Linked DNA regions of Diceros bicornis minor. The protein of the gene in region 2 interacts with the protein of the main gene of each other region in a biochemical or structural test. Links are inferred from orthologs where the notes say so. Each region holds a gene or a part of one and is shown on either strand. Other genes may lie near its edges.

The links. The genes of interacting proteins can lie anywhere in the genome.
Region 1: the proteins of ESR1 (region 2) and CDKN1A form a complex in vitro, tested with the Homo sapiens proteins (2 studies listed by BioGRID). The link is inferred for Diceros bicornis minor from reciprocal best matches to the Homo sapiens genes ESR1 and CDKN1A.

What each region holds. Positions count from the first base shown.
Region 1 is NC_080753.1:28,264,935-28,272,348, forward strand, and holds the start of CDKN1A (cyclin-dependent kinase inhibitor 1), read right to left. Parts: upstream 3,066-7,414; 5' UTR 2,972-3,065; exon of another isoform or gene 2,906-2,971; intron 1-2,905. UniProt on the Homo sapiens protein: Plays an important role in controlling cell cycle progression and DNA damage-induced G2 arrest. Involved in p53/TP53 mediated inhibition of cellular proliferation in response to DNA damage.
Region 2 is NC_080778.1:16,963,421-16,970,917, forward strand, and holds the start of ESR1 (estrogen receptor), read right to left. Parts: upstream 3,045-7,497; 5' UTR 2,986-3,044; coding exon 2,534-2,985; intron 1-2,533.

The sequences.
Region 1 (7,414 bases), on a different chromosome or scaffold from region 2:
TTGCAGGCTCTGAGGGCGAAAGCTCTGCTGAGTGACCTCCTGGGGCAGGAAGCCCTGGCCCCGTGCCACATCTACCCCTCCCCACTCCACCTCTCACACTGAGTGGAGCCCACCATCTCAGCTGACGGGGAGGGGAGGCACTAGGCGAACTTAGACCAACTTTAAAGGGCAGGAGTTCGAACAGATATGAGACTTGTCCCCACACCACACAGCTAAAAAGGCCGAGGGCCACTGCTCCATAGATGGGTTACACAGTACAGGGGGCAGTGCCCTAAAATAACCTTTGCCCACTCTCTTCAGGGCAAGGGTTGGTATTCTTTTATGTATTTTTATGTGCCAAGGGCTGTTCTAAGAAGTTTACAAATATTAATTTTCCCAAAAAGTGAGTATACTAGCTCTTTTTCACAGAAGAGGTAACCAAGGCTCAGAGAAGTTAAGTAACTTGCCCAAGGTCACACAGCTCACAAGTGGCACGGCCAGGATTTGAAGCCAGGCCTACTTGCCCTGGGCTCTGTGCTCTGGTGTTGAGCCCTACTTCCTCCCTAATTTTGAGGTTTCTTAACCAGAGAGGCCCAGCAGAACCACTTGGGAAGCTTTTTCAAAATATAGATTGATAGGCCCCTCCCTCCCTAGACCAACTTAACTCAAATAGGAGGAGACTTAAACAAGTGTTTGGCGGTTGCCCAGATGGGCACTCTTGGGGTGCCCGCCAAGAGAGGACACACAGGATGGCTGAAATGGACACTCTGGGTCTCAGTGCCCCATTGGTACCAGGAGAAGCCTGCTTGGGTCTTTATCCGGGAGCTGGATATTCCCTGGCTTCTAGGAGCTGAAGATGGAACCAGAGTCCAGGCAGGGGCCCTCTCTGCTGCCACCACCTCTTCCCTTATGGCTCTCATAGGCTCCCCATCAAAATCTGCTCTGCCGCCCATTATCATAACTCCCAGCTCAGCGGGCACTCTTAGTTTTACAAACACGTAACTGAGAATAGCTTCCTTTGTAGGTCTTTGTGCCTTAGACTTCAACCATATTTTAATCCCCAAGTAAATAGTGAGCACTCGGTAAACACTGTTGAACCAATGGGGTGCTCTTTTTAAGCGGCGTTGGGGGTGCGGGGATCAGCCCAGGGGCAGCGGCGGGAAGGAGAGGCGGGCGAAGCCGCGCTCCGCGGGAAGGCGCGTTTGCTACTCGCGCCGGGGCCGCGAGGGGGCGCTGGCCCCCAGGAAATCACGCGCAGGGTGGGAGGGGTGTGGGCCGAGCCCGGGACAGGGGCCGGGAGTCGTGATGAGTCAGTTTCCTGCAAGGCGCTCCCCGCCCGCCAAAACTGCACTTCCACTCCGGCTGCGCGTCACCCCGGGTGGGGAGGGGGAGAGCGGGAGGGGGCCAGGGGCCGCGAACACGTCACGCTGAGGCAGCCAGGCTTCCGAAACCCCCGCCACTGTTAGGAAACCGCGCGCTCTCGCGCCGTCTCTGTGACACGCACACACGCGCGCACACACACCGCACGCACTCCACCTTATCTCCACACCCAAAGCACGGGATGAGTCAGATCCCTGGAAAATAAAAATAGACCGGAGTAAGGAAAACAAAACCGCTCGAAAGGCCTCCCCGAAACGCGACGTGGAGGGAGGGACGGAGGGAGGGAGCCGCCCGGGCGCCCTAAAGCGCCAAACCCAGTTCCAAGATTCTTTTCCGCGCGAGGAGGGCGCAAGGGTCCCCCGAGGGCCCGGGACAGGGCGGACGCGCTGTGGTCCGCGCTGGGCAGCTGTGTCCCAAGGACCACTCGCCCCCCTGCTCCGCCCAGTCCAGTCTCCCTCGGAGAGGGAATTCTCCACTAGGTTGGGGGCGCCCGGGCCCCCGGATGCAGGCGACAGAGGCCCTGAGCAGCGTCGCGCCCCCTGAAGCCCCACCCCTCAAAGACGCGACCCCACCCCGGCGGGGGCTGCGCGGCCCGCAGCGCCGCAGAACACCGCTCCCGCCCCGAGCCCATCGGCGCGCCCCAAGGGCAGGCTGGGCCGGGGGCTCCAGGCGGCGGGAGCGAGGTGGGGAGGACTCCTGCGCCTCCCGAACTGACCCGCGTGCGCCAGCCCACTCAGCGCGGGGCCGCGGCTCCGGGTCCCCGAGAGTGCGCCGTGGGGCGGGGACCGGACACCCGGTCCTGGATCTCCCGGTGTCTGGGCTTCCCTGGGAACACTCTGTGCCAGCCAAATAGGTCACTGTGTTTATGGGGGGGACAAACCGAGGAGGGGTAGGGAAGGAGACTTCTGCGTCGCCACTGTCCCCCAGCCCGGGCGGGGTTCTGATCTCACTCGGCCCGTTCCCCGGGGTCTCCTTGTCACCGTGAGTCACCCTCTCGCTTGCCCTTAAGGGACGTGTCCTGACACGTTCCCATGGGCCAGGGACACAGCTCGCGCTGACCTCAGCGCCACCGGGTGGCGGACACGGCGGCGTCGAGGACCCAGACCTCAGGGGTTCGGGCCGGGGCGGCACCGATCAGATCCGAGAGCCGCCCGGGAGCGGATCCCAGAGGAACCTGCTCGGGTCGGCGCTCCCCGCCCCTCCCGGGCCCCTCGGCGGACAGGGGTGCATCCTTACGCCGCGAGCGAGCCGCGCGGGGGGCCCGGGGCGCACCCGCCGGGCGGAGAGCTCCTGGGGCGGCGGGTCCACACCTTCCCCCGCCCCAGCTGTGTTTCAAGGGGACGGCAGCGTGGCAGGGGACCTTCATACTGTGCTCCCTCCCCAACACATCCCGACCCCCGTCACACGCGCGCTTACAGACACCCGTGTGCGCAACGCCGAGACCCACGCGCAGACCCACTCACGTCATTCACTTGTGAACACAGCACACACCCCCGGATACACACGTCCCCGCGGACACAACACACGGACATGCAGGGATACACACACGGACACGCTCAGCTCAGCTCAAGCCGCCTCCTGGGTCCGCTCTTGCCCGCCGTGGCTCCCTCACCTCCTCCGAGGGTCTCGGGGTCTCCGTGAATCCGCGCCCGGCTCCGGGTCTCCGAGCTACCGACCGGGGCAGCTGCTCACACCTCCGCTGGCGCCGCCGGGCGCAGCCCATGTAAAAAGGCTCGGCCCTGGAGGCGGGACCGCTGGCTCCACCCCCAGCGCGCCTGGACCGCCTCCCGGGACCCGCGGCTGCTCCCCGGGCCTGGCCGCGCTCCAGCTCCGCGGAGCTCCGAGGCCGACGTCGCGTGCTGCCCGAGCGCGCTCCCTTCCCCGCACCCCCGGCCTGGGTTGTGCGCTTGACACATTTCCCCACGAATTGAGCCACAAATCTGGGTATTTTTAGCTGGGGAGAGAGTTGGCGCTCCCCAGAAGGGGATGGCGTTGTTAGGATGAGCCCCTTTCTGGCCCACTGCGGGCCGACTCTGGGCGAGGATTTACCGAAAGCAGCTGAAAAGACCAGGGGTGACGTTAATAAATGAAAGTCCTTAAATAATAAAAATGATGCGTCTCACTTTGCACTCCCCAGAAAAGCCCCACTCTACCAGCGCTGTTCCCGCGGATCCCTCACTACACCGCCTCTCCCCGAGCACCTGGGGCACCCAGACACCCCAACAGAGCCTCTGGGAGGCCAGAACGGAATTCAATCCCCTTTATTTCACAAACGAAGAAACTGAGGCCCACAGAACTAAAGGGATGCAAAGCTGTTGCTCATCAAATGCCTCGGGGAAGGAGGGAATTGGAGACACTTCCCAGAAAGGGCCCACGTCTCTCCAGGGGAAATCTGACATTGAACTAAGCTCCCCACCCCCTCCTGCTCCCCACACCCACCTCTCTCTCACCTCAACAGAAGAAACCTCTGTGACTGCAGCTGATTTGATGGCAGGAAGGGCAGAAGGATTTGGTGAGTTGTCTCCTGGATATTCCTCACACAGCCCACATTCACTGCTGGGTAAACTGAGGCTCAGAGAAGTTCATTGACCTGGCTCAGGTCACACAGCAAATAAATGGCTGTGGTTGGAACATAGGCCTTTTGCGTCTCACCCAGAGCTCTCTGCCTGTTGCCCCCTCTATTTCAGTGGCTCTAGAAACACGAGAATGGGGAGACACCAGCACCCCTCATTTCCAGGCAGCTTACTGAGGTGACATTGAGGAAGGACAGTTCTGGAAATGTCCACTGGCACTCTTGACCGATACAGAAGCAGGTGAGGTGCCCATCTGCTCCTTCCTACCTCCGCACCCCCCAGCCCTGCTTGCACCTCACCTTTGCCTCCTTCCTTCACCTAAAACATTTGCAGTTTCTGCTTTTAAAAAAATTGCAGAGAACAGAGTGTTAATCTGAACAGAATTCCCACTAAAAAATAGAATCCACGCTTGGAGCAGCTGCAGTTGCTGACACCTAGGGCTGTTCGGCGTCTGGAAATCTCTGCCCGGACATGCCCAGTTTTCTTCCTCTAATGCAGCTGACCTCAGGGAGGACAGGCCTCCTCCTTCACTGCTGGGATGGAGCCAGGGTAGGGGCGGGAGGGCGTGGCACCTGACCCTCTGGCCTGCCTGGTATTGGAGTCAGGCCAGGGTTGTAGCCGGACCTCAGGAGGGCCTCAAACAGGCCAGGACCCCAGGACCAGCCCCCTGCTCCCCAGCTCCTTTCTCCACACCCCCAACACACACACCCACACCACCCGAAGCCTAGGTTGTCAAATGTCCAGCAGGGGACAAGCATCTCCTCCTGCCTTAAATCCCCTTGGCTCTCAGGCATTTCAAATAGACTTGACATTGTCTGCCTGTTTACTCTGGGGAAAAAAATTTTTTAATGAAGGCTTGTATTGAATTACTTAAAGTTTTGTGGTCCTGAGCTTCACAATGAAATAATTCTTTTTGTTGTTGTTGTTGGGAAGTGAGGTTTTTTTTTTTTTTAATAACTTCTAGCTCAACACCACCACCACAACAGAATTCAACAAATATTTATTAGGCACCTACTAAGTGTCTAGTGCTTCAGTACTCAAAAGAAAGTGTCCAACCCTACACCTGAACGTGTAGCTAGGCATGCCCTTAAGGAGGACTTCCGCTCTGAAGAGAGCAAAGGAGAAGGTTGTTAGAAGTCACACTCCCCAAACACACACACACACACACACACACACACACACACACGTGTGCACAGAACAGGTCCCAGGCCAATCTCAAGGGATCTGCTGCAAACCACATATTCCGTTCAGAGAAATTCAGACCAAGCTCTCACAGGGGTCTCTGGGCGTCTTCTGTCTGCTACCACCCTCCTCTCCCCCCAAAGCAGGCAGCCCCAGGGACAAAACAGCCACTGGCCTCTTCTATGTCAGGGCTCAGCATGTTGAGACATGTTCTTGAGGGCCAGAGAGCCAGTCAGGACCACAGCCTGCTGCCCAGGCATGCTCCCCAGGCATGCTCCCCAGGAAGCAAGCAGCTTAGGGACGGAGCGAGGCTCAGCCTGGGGGCGAGAGGGTCCAGATCAGCCCCCACCCAGGAGGCAGGTGATGACGGAAAGGAAAGGTGGAAAGCTGGAGCCTGAAGAAGGAGGATGTGAGGAGGGCTCAGAGGTGTCTGCAGGAGTACCCAGGAAGGGAGAGGAAGTTCTGGGAACAATGTCACCATTTCTCAGAAAAGGCCCGGGGAGTCCCAAACGGGCAGCCAGCTTTCAGAGGAATTTACCTCCACACAGGCCTTCTAAGAAGTGAGACCCCAGAAAAGAGGGAGAACAGAGATATTATTATACTACTGAGCAGAAGAAGCCTTGCTTACTTCTTTTTTTTTTTTTTTTGAGGAAGAAGGAGATTGGGAACCCCCACCCTGACCTTCTGGAGGCTTTACCCAGCCAGTACAAAGATCAGGACTGACCACAGAGTTAGGCAGAGAAATTTGTAACAGAATTTGTGCCACATAAACACTTCTAGCCTCCCTAAGCTAGAAATTTCACCTTGCCTAAGCCTGAAATTTCACCGTTAGAAATTCATTCCTTTGGCATGAATTCTTGCTTCATCAGATAAGATCATGTAGGCAAAGTGCTTAGCATAGTGCCTGGCACATAGAAATCACTCCATGAATACTAGTTATTATTATTGCTCTACAAATGTCCCTGGGGAAGGCATCCCTTGGAATTGAGTAATCATTTATACTTTGGGGTATCTTAGGTAGGTTTCCCAGAAAACACACTCTGCAGTAGAGACTTGCTTGAAGGAGGTTTCTTGGGACTGCATTTGCAATCAGCATCTGTGGGACCATAAAGGAAACAGGATTGGGCAGAGAGAGGAGTTGGGCCGAGATGGAGGCTGGAGGCCCCAGAGAGGCCTCTGTTGAGCCCACAGGGAGCTCTTGAGCTAGGAGTTCCCTGAATGGAAGCAAGGGGGTTGGGCTTTTGTACCCCTGCTTCAACCAGTCTTTTGGATGTGGCTGTCCCTGGAGCAGAGGGGTGCATGAACTTGGGCAAGAGAGCTCCTTTATCTGAGGCTGATTCCTAAAGAAGGGCTCAGCTGAAGCATCAGTGCCAACACTCGCAACAGCCAGTGGGGAGAACGAGTGCCTGGCTCCTGCAGAGGCTTCTGGGTGGCACAGCACAGAGTGAATGAGTTGATCAGATCATTTAGGGACTAGAAGGTGGTGAGGAAATGCTGTGAACACAGGCCACCTGAGGAGTGAAGGGCTCTCTGTACCTTTGCACATATTGTTCACTCTTCTTGGAATCAGTGTTTCTTACCAACCTACCTCATCTCTACTCCTTTCTTCACGTGTTGAACTCCTATTGATCCTTCATGACCCAACCTACGTGACCCCTTGTGGGGAGGCCTTCTCAGGGCTCCCTCTGGCTCCCAGAGCTCCTGGTGAGTAATCCACTCACTGTGCTTCGCTGGCCTGCTGGGTTTACATGCCTGTGGCATCCTCTGAGCTGGGAACTGGTGGGGATAAGCCATATTTTATTCATCTTTGTACCTTCAAGGCCTAGCAGCCTCAGCCGGAGTTCAATCAATATTTATGGAAGGGCCATTTTTGACTTGCACTCTGAGGTTAGGCTTTAGTGCCGCTGCATCTGAGCCCTCTCTCTTATTTATTCATTTGTCTGTTCACTCATTCATGCATTAAAATATATATATATATATATATATATGTATATAATTAACATTCACTGCTCAACCCAAAAACTGGAACATTACAAATCACCGACACCTTCCGGTGAGTTCCTCTACTATCCTGATCCCTTCCTCCCCCACCCCGAAGTAGACAGTATCTTGAATTTTATGTTGGACTTTCCTTTGTTTTCAGTAGTTTTGTCACATGTGACCAAGACAGGAATGCTCACCCGTTTTTCTCTGTGCCCTCCTACATTTCCCAGCACCCTCTGCAGTTTAGACAGGGTCGTGTGACTAGTTCTAGCCAATGAAATATGAACATAAGTGACATTGGTCTCTTTAGGGCTGAG
Region 2 (7,497 bases):
GACCATAAAATTTTAGGCTAGTAGCTTACAAATTTCTTTGACCTCAACCCACAGTATGAAATATATTTTATATCACAGTCAGCACACACAAGTATGTATAATTAAAACAAATTTTCAGGAAACAAAACCCACCCTTACTAAATATTATGCCCTCTAGTATATTCTCTTATATTCTTTTCTATTTTCTTCCTTAACAACACAAAGTTCTAGACTCATTAAACTCATTTTCATGATACTCTAGGTCATGACAAGCAGTTTGAAAACACTGCTTTCGGCCCCTAAAACTTTTTATAACTACTGAAGAAAGTTAAATGTTCTTTAAACAGTCTAATCAATTCTTTTCTTTTTTACCCAGAGTTATTCAAACAGGAAAAGTGACAGGGAAAAAATATTAAATAACATATGACCATTTGAAACCACACTTGCATAGACCCTTCACTTCCTCCCTGGGTAATAAGAGGCAGAATTCAAACAAAAAAGGAAGGATGCTACGGGAAGTAAACTACAAAGGAAAAATCATTCTAAAACTGAATTTCCACACAGAATCCCATTTGCGTGAGTTTTTTACTTTATTTTTAAAAGTTCTGTGTCATTTCTTTTATTATTCTAGAAGTATTTGAATATCATCAAATGCAAAAAGTTTAAGATGGGGCATATTATAGTTATATTATCTGCTATGGGATGATGAACAATTTTGAATAAAATGTGATCCCCTCTTCATTTGACCGTGTTCACTTCGTAATTATTAGCAAGGCAGTAAATAATCTACCAAGGAGCAGTCTCATTAGTGCCCATTGAATTTCAGTGGCATTAATTTGCAATAAAAGAACTGAAAATTAAATGGAAAAGAAAATAGTTTCCGGAGTCCACCATAAGGTTATGGAATTCATCTCACACCAGTGCCTTTCTTCACATCAAGGAGTTTAAAATGTTGTGTGAATTAGACTTAATCGTTATATTTTGTTCTAACACTTTTTAAAGGGAGGGGCAGAATAAATTCTTTTTCTCTTTCCATTTTAACCCTGAATTAAAACAAGTGAAATTAATTTGAAATATGCCAACTTTTTAAAGTTTTGTTCATCGCTTGTCTTTTAAATAATAACTCAGGCTGGACCTGCTTAGCTGTGGGATGCTTTTAAGTCCTTTGAGGAGGCTGAGGGATATAAGTATGTTCAGATACCCCAAGAGTCTGCCCTTCAGTATTCTCTGAGGCCAATCTGCACCTTCCTCCTGTTTCTTCTGCTATAAATATCCCTGGAAATAGAATACTAAACAGAAAACGGTCCACAGCTGGCAATGCAGAAGGATCTGGGCGAGGGCAGGAGGCAAGTCCAGACACCAATGTACCGTCAGGCAGTGCCTAACTCAGCGCCCAGCCACGTGTGCGCCCTGGAGCCTCCCAAACACACTTCAGGGTATCTGGTCCAGCGGGCGCCTAGGGCACAGGTATTCAGAAATACACACCCTTCCCAGGTCCATCAACAAGAAAAGGGAGAAAGGAGAGGAGCAAGGAGGAGGAAAATATAACGTCTACTAGAAAAAAAAAAAATAAGGACACAAGTCACAGGGAAGTCACAGAAGTGTCCCCTGTGTCCTGGACTGCCAACGCTTCTTCCAGAGCGACTGAAAGGTGAAGAACCGAGCTGACCCGGCACCCGCACCAGGGGCATTCTCTGCCCGGTAGGCCAGAAAGGGAACTTAGCTGGCAGGAGAGTATTCCAAAACCTTCGTGTTTCGATATGGCATGTTTTAAACTCACAGGACACCTATAAATTCCCGGCTGTCAGAAGTCATATGCCAGCAATTTGCTTCAACACGGACCCAGCCAGATAACTGGGAAATCAGAAACTTGTTAAGACCCATTCAACCCCTGTATTGCTCTCCTGAGGAGCGCAGTTCAGTCCTAAAGCCCTGGAGCGTGCGATGGGAGGAGGGAAAGCAGGTGCTACAAATCTCTTCCCCCAAAAATCATCATCATCATCATCACCACCATAGTGGGCATGTTTCCAATCCGAAATTCTAGATGAAAGGTAATTTTGCAAGCACATTAAAAGAAAATTTTAAAATACTAACAACAAATGAAACTCTGACGTCCGCGAACCCCAAACACCTCTAGCCCGAAATACCACAGCTGGACATTTACGAGGGACTCAGAGAGCCCCGTGTTTATTTGCTTTGGGGTGTTTCCCCCGCAAATAACTGCTGCTCTGTACGGCTTTCCAACATCTGCTTAGTCAGGAAGCGCACAGGGTTTCGGATCTGCCTGTCACGCAGACGGCAGCGGGTGAAGAAGAGAATCTTTTTAAGCCGCCCGGGGAGAGAACTTGACGCTCGGAAGGCGAGATCCGCAAATCGCTCCCGGGCCGGCCGCGCGCGGGCACTGGGGTGGCGCGTCCCGCGGCTCCTGCGCCCGGGGCCCCGCGGCCTGCGGCCTCCGGCGAGCTGGGGCGGCGCGGGCCCCGCTCCCCGCTCCCTCCCGCCCGCCGGGCGCGCGGCGGCCACCCCGACGTGGCGCGGCGGGGGGCGCGGGTACCTGTAGAACGCCGGAGCGCCGGCCTCGCGCAGGGCATAGCCGCTCGGCTCGTCCTCCAGGTAATAGGGCACCTGCTGGCCTTGGGGGTGCAGGTAGGGCGAGAGCTGCGGCGGCGGGTGCAGCAGCATCAGCGGGCTCGGAGACACGCTGTTGAGCGGCGGGAAGCCCCCCAGGCCGTTGGCGCCGAACGCCGCCGCCTCGGACCCCGGGCCGTAGGCGAGGCCGGACTGGCCGTAGACGGACGCGGAGGCGGCGGCCGCGGCGTTGAAGTCATACGCGGCGCTCTCGGGGTAGTCGTACACGGGGGGCTTGCTGCTCTCCACGTACACCTCGCCCAGGGGCCGCTCCAGGGGGATCTTGAGCTGCGGGCGGTTCAGGGCCTCCAGCTCGTTCCCTTGGATCTGGTGGAGCAGGGCCATTCCGGATGCTTTGGTGTGGAGGGTCATGGTCATGGCCAGTGGCCGCGGGCAAGGCGCATACCGTCTCCCCGCGCGGCGGAGGGCTCAGCAGCCGGCCGGCCACCTGGAAGAAGAGCACAGCCCGCGGTTAGAGGCGGCGCAGCGCATGTCCCGCCGCGACACCGGCTCTGGCCCTGCCCCGGGAGCCGGCCCGTCCCGTGGAGCCCGCGGCCGGACGCGAGCAAGTGCAGCCCCGCGCGAGCGCGCTCCGCCAACTCCCGGGCTCGGGTCTCCAACTTTAAGTACCGGTCTCCCGAGCTCATATGCATCGCAAAGGTGCTGGAAGGCGGCCAGCGGCTGTTGCCTTGCCCTGACATTGGCTTAAACATCACTCCGGGCGCAACTTGTTTTGGAGCGATCCCAAAGAGCAGCTTCCCTGAACTTTACTTTACTTGTCGCTGCTGGATGGAGGCTGAACTTCAGTGCAGGAGGGCGGGGGCGCCGAGCAATCTCCTAAAGGTGGCCCAGGGAAGATGGGGTTTAAAACATACTCGGAAGACTAATTCAGGGGCCGGCTTTCTCTAACGTGCTGCCTTATGTGCCCCGTGCCAGACTCCAATCTATCTCTGTTTGTCTCTCTCTCTGTTTGATTCACTCTCCTTGTTGGCTGGAAATATGTAGTGTGTACATAGAATGACCCTGGGGAGGACCACTCTGTAACTGAGATATGGCAGATAGAATAGGGTGTACGGTTGCATATGCAGCCAGCCACAGACAGCTATATTTAGCAGCTGCAGGGACTGACAGAAGGCATCTAGGGAGAAGCGGGTGGAGATTTAAGGTGTACATATAGGAAGAGCTGCATTTTGCAATCTGGAGAATGCTGACGGACCTCAGTTTCCTTATCCGCAAAATTCTTCCAAAGTGGTCCATTCTAGCCAGGACCTTCTGAGATTCTCCCAGTCGGACTTGTATGTTTGTGTTGGACCACAGCACTGTACTTCCTCCCATTAGGAATTCTCATGTGAATGATGATTCACAAAAACCTTTGGTTAGGAGCACACGGGGTTCGTGCCTTCCACAGGTTATGCAACCAAAACTTCAGAAAACTGAATATGAAATGTGACCTTTTCATATAAGGCGTAACCTCAGGTCATTAACCAAATTCTTGGCAATTATGTTACACTGTTGGTCGAACCAAGAAATTTTAAAATGCAATGGTACATTTCTGTTCTTTAATTCTACAACTGGACCTTCTCGGTTCACTTTGGCTAGGATATGCAGAATCAAATATCCAGATAAAAAGGAATAGAAAAAAGTTTTGAACTGAATTAAAAGGTAAGCATACACACACACACATATATAAACAAAAACATAAGGTAAATATACTGTGCACCCATATTCTTGGATAGTTTATACTTTTTAATAAACTTCCTTTGCCCCAGCCTAATAGACTCTGATATGACCATCAGATACAACCGTTAATACTTTGCTGTAATTGCTATCCGAAACACCCAACAGAGTACCTGACAAATCTTCATGGCATATAAGGATGCCAAGGTTGCTGTTACTAATGGCAATATTTTTGGATATTTTAATACTAATAAGTACACATTTTACCTAATTCTTACAAGAACAGACAGACTATTGGGGGACAATATGCAGATGTAGCTGATTTATTATGAAGCTAAAATTGAGCTTAGCATCAATAACTATCCATTGTAAGCAAAGAAAGGGTTAAAAACACATTAGGTGAATCACAGATATTTCTCTTTATGGCCAGCAACCATTACTTTCCAAAGCAATTTTTTTACAGATGATTTCGTTTTCGTAAATTACACTTCCAATTTTCAGATGTCTTTTTTAAACACATGCAAAAGCACTTCATAGGGCTCTTAAAAATCTGAACCTGCCAAATTATATAGAAATTGCACAAAGAATCCTACAAGTCTTGAAAGAAAAAGGAGACGCACACATAAACCCATGGAAAACAGCAAATCCTCATCTCCCTGCTAGGATACAGACACTGGCCAGAAAGGTAAGTTGCTTTCTCAAAATGCTCAAGCTACGAAGAGAGAAATCAAAACAATCCTACCCTGCTGGATCAAGAGCGTCTTTCCAGAAATGTTCCATGGGCTTGGAGAAGTCAAGGGCTTGACAGTGAGAAGGGAGGAAGGAATGTGCTCACATGTGCGGGTGGCTCCGTGTGTGAGCGAGGCAGAGCGTGTGTGGATGTGTTTGTGTGTGGAATGGCAGGGATTCGGGAAGCAGCCAGTAGGCAGGGCACTTGGCAGCCCCTCCCGGCAGACACAGCAGCTGGGCTGCTGCACAGAGCTGGATGAATGGCAGTGGAGAGTGAGGAGAAGCTTGCTGTCTGCTCATGGGGAGCAGTGTGGCACAGCTAGAGTCAGCATTATTGGGGAGAAGCAAACTCCAGCATCCTTTGCTCCTTATCCTGGGAGCCTGAAAGTGCCCCATGCTTTCCACTGCCATCCTGAGCAACAGGGAGAACAGGCTTGCTGTAAATCATAGGCTTACGGCTAAAATAGAATGCCAGTCAAAAGTATATGGCTATCAAGTTTACAAAATGTGACATGGGTGGTTTCTCCTGAAGAATATAATTTAACAATAAAGGCCTTCTGGGATACGCTTGGATCAGATGCCTTGCTGGCCCAAGCTCCCGGTCTCCGAACAGACACACTATTGCCATGCCTCCGATTGCACCAGGAAACCAGACTTTGGAATAAATGTTTTGGCATTCTAGGGATGTGTTTCCAGCTGAAATGTAATATTCCTCCACCTCATCAACCAAACCCACAAACCTTTCCACGAATAGCTCAGTTGACTGTTTTCTGTAAACATATGAAAAAATATGTTATTAAAAGCCTGGGGTACGAAGATAAGACAAAGGTGGGTGCCTTTGTTTTAAACTGATTTTAGGCTCTCTGGTTGTGCCAGCGTTGATCATGGGGATGGGGCTCTCATTTCCCAATGATGCCCACATGGATCCATCTGGTCTTCAACTTTTCTCTTGACCATGATGCTAACACACGATAATAAGGTGTTCCTAGTGTGCCCTCGCCTAGGGTTTCAGGACATGTGACACCTAGTGGACCCTTTGCTGCCAAACATTAGTCACTCCCTTGGGTATTAAATGACCCTAATCACAATGCCAGGAGTGGCCAGTCTCTGGCCATGAGACCCTATGCAGTTACCGAGAGATTTATGAGTGGCTCTTCAGACCACTCTGAAGTAAAGAAAGAAGTAAAAAGTTATTTGAAAAAAAAAATTACAAAATGTTAATGATGTCATAATGCCAAAATTTATTTTGTACTTTGAAAGGCCTGAAATATTGCTATATTGGAGCACAGAAGAACCCTCTCTACAATCAGCGATAAAGTCAAACACTGAAAAGTAAGCCAGTTACCCTTTGTATGTAGGTGACGATGGTGAATCCTGACTCCTCCTTTGCGTCAGCGGTGGCCACCCATGCAGTAGACCAGTCCAAAATAAAACAAGAATGTGCAAGGAAGGGAGGAGAGAGAAGGGAAGAGAAGGAATGGGAAAAGGAGAGAAATAAAGAAGGAAGAAGAAAGAAAGGGAGAAAGAGAAAGGAAGGGGAATCTGCAACTATTCTCCTTGAACGTAGGAAGGATACGATGTCTAGCTATCTCTTCATAGACTTTGATTATTATGAGGCTAACGATGAAAGTTAGTCCAAGATGTCCAACAAGGGCAGTTTTCTTAAACACTTTCTCTCCAGCATTCTCTTTCCCCTCCTTGGTAAGATTCGTCCTCCAGGCTTGGTGATGGGGGTGGGAAAGGATACTGCACCTTGCCAATTTTCTTCTAGTGCTTGTTTGCCAGAGGACTTTGAGGGCTGTCTTTCTCTTGCCTTCCATATTCTGCAGCATTCGAGCTATGCAATCTCTCCCTTTTCCTTCCACTTCTATCACCCTCCTTCAGCCCATCATTCCCTTACCTGTTGTAAGAGCCTCCTAGGGACCTCTGCTTCTTCCCTCCTCCCACTTCTTCCCAGATTCTGCTGCCTTTTGTTTTCTTGGTTTTTATTCCTTCGGGATACATCTTCTCGGTTCCACCATTGACCCAGATGGTAGCTTCCTCAGGAGTCAGGCCTTCCTCTCTTCCCATGACTATCCTGTCTAGTGTATGTCAGGGAAAAGCATACCCTTTTTTAAGGTCCAGCCCAAACACCACCACATCCATTATGCGTTCCTTTATTCTTTATTCAAAGGGAATTTCCTCTTCTCTGAACTCCAGTGGTATTTCTCATGCATTTATTACATTCTTCCCTGAATTAGAGTTATTTATATATATTTTATGCCCTCATCCCACTCAGAAGCTCCTTGAGGACAGGGTCTACATAGAGTTATTTGGGAATTCTCTGAGTGCCTAGCACTGTGTCTGCTCATATTAGGTCATCAAATATTTGCTAATTTATTAATCAGGATTCTTAAAAGGATAAGATAATGTTACATCCTTTTTGATAACCATCTCGAAAAGCTAACTTTCCATGTAATGTTCTACCATTTATAAAACTGTTTT